2 linked regions of the Rhinolophus ferrumequinum genome follow. The protein of the gene in region 1 interacts with the protein of each later gene in a biochemical or structural test. Links are inferred from orthologs where the notes say so. Each region holds a gene or a part of one and is shown on either strand. Other genes may lie near its edges.

Evidence for each region.
Region 2: the proteins of ANXA7 (region 1) and SRI interact in a biophysical measurement, tested with the Homo sapiens proteins (2 studies listed by BioGRID and IntAct, with this or other methods). The link is inferred for Rhinolophus ferrumequinum from reciprocal best matches to the Homo sapiens genes ANXA7 and SRI.

What each region holds. Positions count from the first base shown.
Region 1 is NC_046299.1:50,914,153-50,917,899, forward strand, and holds the start of ANXA7 (annexin A7), read right to left. Parts: upstream 2,399-3,747; 5' UTR 2,266-2,398; intron 1-2,265. UniProt on the Homo sapiens protein: Calcium/phospholipid-binding protein which promotes membrane fusion and is involved in exocytosis.
Region 2 is NC_046303.1:37,057,829-37,061,575, reverse strand, and holds the start of SRI (sorcin), read right to left. Parts: upstream 2,653-3,747; 5' UTR 2,570-2,652; coding exon 2,516-2,569; intron 1,581-2,515; coding exon 1,497-1,580; intron 1-1,496. UniProt on the Homo sapiens protein: Calcium-binding protein that modulates excitation-contraction coupling in the heart. Contributes to calcium homeostasis in the heart sarcoplasmic reticulum. Modulates the activity of RYR2 calcium channels.

The sequences.
Region 1 (3,747 bases):
TGTAATAAGACATTAAGAAAACTGACCCAGTCGGTTCTAAAATAATCATTTGGGATCCAAAGGCCTGAATGTAAAAAGAGGAACAAGCAAAATCATTTTTTGCTTTCTTCTTCTCTAAGCCTGGTTGGTATAAGGAGTAAAGGAGGGACAGACAACAACATCTAAGAACAGTCAGTTAGATCAAGGGCAAAAGAGGTCAGGGTCAAAAGGAAGGGGGGAAAAAATCTGAAAATAACTTAGAGAAATTAATCATTTTAAAGGCAATTTAAATTTCTAAATCTCGGAATATTGTTCTAATGACAAAGTCCTATTTCTACATTCTTTAGCTACTATATTAAATCCTACCTTGAAGAGCCTAGAGGAATTACGTCAACAAGAGTTGTAAAACCAAATGAAAATAAAGACTCTGTATACAAGTATGAGAAAATTTAAAGCAATTTTAAGAAAGTGAATTTGGGTACATTTTGAAGAATGTAACTATATAAAGGACTAGAACGCAGTTCCATTTCCAGAAATGCACCTTATAGAAATACTTGCACAAATGCAACATATGTGTGTACAAGGCTATTCATTACAGCACTATCTGTAATGGAAAAAGGTTAAAAACAATCTAAAAGTCCATCAATAAGAGAAATAGATTATAGATAGCCATACATTTAAGTGTTATGCAGCTATCAAAAATTAGTTTTAGTTTTTGTTGTTTTTTAACTCATGTGTGAAATCACCTCTAAATCATAAATGGGGGGGAACAAGGTAGAAAACTGCATAGATAATTTGCAACCATATACGTAAAAAAATTATTTATTTGCTTGATTATGCACAGAATATCCCTGAAAGTATTCTCAAGGAAGTAGAAAAACAAGGGCTGCCTCCAGGGAAAAGAGCTGCAGCATAATGAGACTTACTTTTCAATATTTAGAATTGTGCATGTCTCATCTATTGAAAAGGTAAATTTAAAAAGCTTTTGTGAAAAGCTTCAAGTCCAGGGTGACAACAAATTACTCCACTTTGGCCAACGCATAACAAGACTGTACTGGTGAACCAGAGCTTTTCTTTTTAACATTCTCCGTCAGCAACTACTTTTAAAAGACTAGAAAATCATTCTTGGTTCTCCAAACCATCTCCACCCAGTGAGTCATGTACTAAAAGGGGTGAGTCTCACTATGGGAGTCTCCTAGATGGCAGGAAGCCCAAGAACACGAGGCAAGTGTTGCAAATTTATGAAATAAATAGGAAACAGGAAGGGTGAATGAGGATGGCCAACAGCAGATACTACAATTTTCCAAAACCTGCCTCTTGGTTGGCAAGGACCGTTGAAATCAGTCCCCAAAAGCCCTCGGATAAAGACATGGAGGCACGTCTTCTGAGTGGACAGGGTAGGCAGTCACCACCAGTGAGGGCTGAAAAGAGGCTTAAATCTGCAGTGGTCAAAATTAGTCTTGACCTATACTAGTCTTGAAACTCCTTCCCTGCCTAAGAGTTAACTCGTTATATTACCTAATTAGGACGGCCTTTACCAGATCAGGTCCCTATCAGCTGGCAAAATTGAGGAGTTTAAAGGCAGTTGGACGACTTCTTTCCCTGTGTCACCCTATGGTGGACATCAGCCATTTCCCGTAACAGCACACGTTTGCTGCTGTCCATGGAACAGGAGTCAATCTGCAATGCTATTTCCTAAAAGGGTTGCCAAGAATAATAAACCCGAACCAGTGTACAATTTTACGCTTGTGCATTGTCTTACGGGATCACTAAGCGCATCACAAATTTCCCAAGTTTCCCTAAATTTGCTGTGTCACCGGAAAGTCTAGTCACCAGCCAGAATTAGCTGCCGGTGCGCTCGCTGGTTTCCCTCCTCAGCCTTCCTGAGGTCGCTCCAGCAGGACCATCTTCCGGCCTCAGCCCCTCCACCTGCGGTCCACCTGCCTGTGCGCGGGGCCTCGCGGCTCCCTCTGACCTCGGGAAGGCCGAGCCGCACAGAACCCGCGCACAGCACTTCCCGTTTCCCGCCCGCCAGGCCGGCTGGCCGCCTTGCCTATCCCTCCCCAATGCGCCCCCGCCCGAAAGTCCCCACCGATCAGCCGGGGGGCCGAGACGCGCACATCTAGTCGCCCGCCCAGGGAGGCCCACAGGCCCCTCCACCGCCCCCTGGCGCGGGGACACACTCGGGGCCGCGCTAGCTCGGGGACAGCGGGGCTCAGAGCGGGCCGGGCGGGATGGCTAAGGGGGTCGAGGGGGGTGGCAAGGGTAGGGGGCGCCGTTCCTCACCTGATTCCCGAGAGCAGCGTCACAACCCAACCCGGTCGCCCGCAAGATGGAGCCGGGGGCGGGCCCGGGGAGGGCGGGGCCCGGGGGCCTCCGCGCGAGCCCGTTAAGATCGCCAGCGCAGCGGGGAACGCCCCTGGGGCAGGAGGGCGCCGCCCTGGGACCGGGGCTCGGGCTTTCCCTTGTCCCCGCCCTGCAGCTCCACCTGTGGGGTAGACGGCCCTTCAGGTGGAGCAACCAGTTGTATCACATTTTTCGATCCCACGGACCAAGCCCCAAACCCGTTTGGGCTCTCAAGCAACTCACTTGAGAAGTTGCAGCGGTTCTGAAGAATCCCGGAGCCCCTTCAGTGGGTAGCAGATGAGGGCTCAGACTGGGAGGCCAGATGCGGCTTCATCAACCTCTTAGGAGACTGACAATTAAGTTCGGGAACTCATCCTGGAAAAAGTGCTACAGACCTCATTGCTGAATATCACTACATCAACCTCGAAGCACTCCCCTTGGGAAGCTATGCACTGATGCCAGTGCCTAGTCCACCCTTCAAAGCAATTTTGGAACTCTTTTTCTGGAATGTCCATCATAGCTGTCACCGTATTACCCTTGATGTCCTGAATGTCATCAAAATGTCTTCCTTTTGATATTTCCTTTATCTTCCAGTAAAGAAGTCATTGGGGGCCAGATCAGGTGAGTAGGGAGGGTGTTCCAATACAGTTATTTGTTTACTGGCTAAAAACTCCCTCACAGACAGTGCCATGTGAGCTGGTGCATTGTCGTGATGCAAGAGCCATGAATTGTTGGCAAAATGTTCAGTTCATCTAACTTTTACACGCAGCCTTTTCAGCACTTCCAAATAGTAAACTTGGTTAACTGTTTGTCCAGTTGGTACAAATTCATAATAAATAATCCCTCTGATATCAAAAAAGGTTAGCAACATCGTTTTGACTCTCGATTTGGACTGATGGAACTTTTCTGGTCATGGAGAACTGACTTCCATTGTGCACTTTGACGCTTTGTTTCAGGGTCGTATTGGTACACCCATGTTGCGTCACCAGTGACAACACAGCCCAAAACATTGTCTTGCCTCTCCAAAAGGTCTTGGCAAACTTCGACTCTCCTTTGCTTTTGTTCATCAGTGAGCTCCTTCAGGACCATTTTCGCACACACCTTTCTCATTCCAAGATATTCAGTTAAGATTTTTCTGTTTCTCTATAGATGTTTACTTGGTCTGCTATGCTTCTCATAGTCAATCGATAATTTTGACGCACAATTCGATGAATTTTTGCAATGTTTTTGTCGATTCTGCTCGTTACTGGCCACCCTGAACCTCTGTTCCTCCTCTAGGAAAAACATTTAATCCATTTGTACACTGCCGTTTTCTTCATGGCATTATCCCCATAAACTTGGACTAACAAGTCCCTGATTTCACTTCCACTCTTCCCAAGTTTAACAAGAAATTTAATGTTTGTTCGTTGCTCTAATTCAAGC
Region 2 (3,747 bases), on another chromosome or scaffold:
TTAAGCATTTTAAAATAATGTAGTTGCTTAAAAATCTTAAAAACCTCCTTCTAGCTTTTGGGGGAGAGAGGGGAAAGCGGGGTACACAGCTGACATGAGTAAATAAAAAGCTTGGTTCAAACAGAGAGAGAGAGACAGAGCAAGAGACCTTTGGGATCACCTTTGCTTATGATGTGAATGGGTGAATTTTTTTTCAGGCCCCAATTATTTAAGTTCCCAGTGGCTATTCTAGGTCAGAATTAGATATATGTTACTTTTAGGAGTTTTAAAATAAAACACCTAAGTCCATGGGTATTATAAATGCTAAATGAGCAGAAGGATCAACAGTTTGAAAGATGACGGCTACTCTGATACAGGCCAGGGCTGCTGAAAGCTAAGTAGGTGGGGTCACTTACATGGATGGAGGCACGGGCCATCTAAGAAAGTGAGTATTGAGCTTTGCTGTGTCTTGTGGTTTCAAAGATACAGATCATTAACAGATCAAGCAGATACTTACCGGGAAGCTCTTTCAGTTTTAGACTCAATTTTCCACTCAATTTCTCAAACTGCATTTCTTAGAGTGCTATTCTAAAAGGTGGTCTTAGGTTTTTATCCCATAATATTCTATGGCATTTTCACATGAAGATTGTGTTACTTCTAGCTTTTGATCAAAACAAAGCTAAACTGAATTCATCTGAGCAAACATTCCCTCTGGACATGTCTGGGTTATACCAACAGCATATTAACCATACACAGTGACCGCGGGAGCTAGGGATATGTCCTATCAATCCCCACCTGCACCTGTCAAATAACTCAGAATGTAGAGAAGTAAAAGGTCTTGGGGAGCAAATCTTCGTCCTCTCTTTGGGTCAACAGGCCACAACACCTAATAAGGACATAGAAGATCTGACCTAGTAACAGAATCTGCATCAAACAGAAACTAAACAGATCACAAGATTAACTTCCTGATAGTAAAAAAGAGTAGTAACTTTCTTATTTTGAAGCTGGTGGGTTTTTACCGTAAATACCTATTTCCTAAGGGGGTAATTGATAAACAATCAAATTTAACCCAAAGAAAGTGTCCATTAATATCTGGTTATAGAATTACTAGTACATGCCTTTCAGTTGTGCAAACAGGGGTTTATGTTCACCAGATACAGAATTTCTTCTCTGGAAACCACCCTGGATCCTGACAATCGAGTCACAGTTCTAAAGACATCTTTCTATCTTACAGATCTTAAAACATATTCATAACCCCCTATTCTGTTCAATCGGACACTAATTCAATCACAAGTTTAGTTCTGAATGGAACTAATAAAAACACCAGTAACACTTTGCCCTAATTTGTTCTGAAAACTCAGAAATAAGTGACTATAAGTTTCCTTCTTTCTCTTTTTTCTTTTGCAGAAGCAAAGGGATTCTTTTTCCAGAGGAAAGGTAGTTTTTCTGTGCCACTGTAACAGGCTAATACAAATGTAGACTCTTTCCATTCTCTAGTATTAAACAGAAAAGCTAACCTGTCCAGCTACTGAAGCGAAGTAACCATACAGCGGATCCTGAGTTTGTCCGGGAAACGAAGGCCCTCCGGGAGCCCCTCCATACTGTAAAACAGGAAACACAAATTTGGCATCATATTGCTGAACCAAGTTTTATTTTTTCACTACCGAGTGCCTTTGTGCAAAGCCAGGCAATGGCCTGCCATTCACTTCATTTACCCCCCCACCACCGGGCACACTAACTGCACTCACTCTACCTCTTTCTTCCATTCTCACTCCAGTCTAATTTTAAAAAACTGGCGGCTTGGACCAAAATGAATTGTCCTGACAATGACATCTGCATAAGTGAAGCAGCTTTAAAAACCCCTATTAACCTGCAGGTTACTAAGGTAAATGCAACCCAAGCAACAATTTATGAGCAGAGCTTAATTTTTTTTTAATAGAGTTTATGGTATTTTCAAAGCATTTTGAGACAGGTGTTGCCAGGGAGGGTAAGGTGTGTCTCGGCTGCGCTATTTCGCCACGGGGGAATATTCTTGGAAACAGTTTCCAAGACAACGCGCATCCCAGAAGCCAGGCTAGGCAGCTTTCTTCTCGGAGTGCTTTTACTCTGGCGGTCCTTCCTTGATTTTTTTTCCCCCCCTCACCTTGTTTTAGAGAGAGAGGTAGAGCTCTGGACCATTCTAGGTTAAAATGGCTGTTAGGGGAAACACAGAGGGAGGGAGAGGAAGCCCACACCCAATTTGCACAATTTCACGCCGCCTGTCCGAGAGTCACGGGGTGGGATTCTGGGGTCGCAATCCACCCGTGCCTTGGCCTTGCGTAGCCACCCGTGGGGAGGCAGAAGGAACAGAGAGATGGAGGGAGCCAGGGAAAGAGGCCGAATGGCCTGGGCTTGGGGCGAGGCAGCGGGCAGGGAGAAGCCGGGGGCGGGAGGTGTCCGGGGAGCCGCCCCAGCAGAGTCGCTAAGTGTGGTCTCTCGGCGTCCCCAGGACCCAAGGGTCGCGCCCGGGCTGCAGTCCCGCGCGGGCAGCACTTACCTGGCTTTGGTAGAAGCCGCCGCCGCCGGAGCCAGGGTGCCCGGGGTACGCCATGGTGCAGACTGCGCCGCCACCACCCTGCGCGCCCTGCCTTACTGCCCGCCCGCCGCGGCCGCCCCGGAGCGCACCACGCGGGCGGCGGGGGGGGGGGGGACGCGCGCCGGAGCCGCTGCCCGCACGGGGGTCCTCTTTTGCCTCGGTCCCCTGCCTGCGCCCAGCCCTTTATTGTACCTTATATGCCGAGGCCGTGCATCGCCGAAGGCCCGGTAAGTGACTTAAGACCTGCGAATTAATTCACACCAGGGACTTGCCTCCCTGCGAAACGAATGGCACATTCCAACATCAACTCGGAGCCTGGGGAATTCTATTTTTCTTCCTACTTGGCTATTTTCTGACGTTTTTCATCTTCAGCAGTTTTATTGGCCGGGGCCGACCTGCTCTAAGCTGAGTGCAATATCGAGGGCGAGGGGCTGAATACATTAGGGCCCCTATTAGATGCTTGAGGGGCATGGAGGTGTTGAAAAATCAAATATGAAAGCGCCCTTGGAACACAGGAATAAACTTCAGAAACTGTGCAAGGGAGCGTTTGGCTTGGGGTTACATATTTCACTGAACAACAACGGCATGTTTCCTTGCTAGGGGACATTGTCATCTCCTGGTTAAACTGGGCGTAGCTGGATGTGGCTTGGGTAGGACAGAGGGCTTTTACTGCGCAGGGCAGTCCCGCCCAGAGCGTCTTTAGAAAGGGAGTTGTTTCAATTAGTATCTGCGTGACTCAGGCAAAATAAACTCTCTTTCCAAAATTACTCAGCTGCTTTTTAGAGCAATCGAGTATTAGTAAATATTCAGGAAGATGAAAGATTAGAACTAAGGTGATTCAGAAAATGGTTTTCTTTACTTCACACGTTCTTCCTTTTCACCCAGTTGAACAGTCTGAAGCTATTCAGACGAGAGTTCTGTTTGGTTTTGATTGATGTAATTTCAATCACACAGAATGTTTTTGTGAATTTTAACGTTTTTAGAAATTCATTAATGAGCAAGATTCACAGTATTTGCTGTGGAGGTTGCCCAGAAAAACAGTCATTAGTTTTTGGACCACCTGCTGAGCATGGTACTGGCCTTTTTCACCATGATATGGTGGACGAGGTTCCTCCATTCCAATGTCCTGCGCAGTGTTCTCACTAGGGTCATTGTTTTCCTCTCATGTATAACTTCCCTCCAAGTCTTCTTTT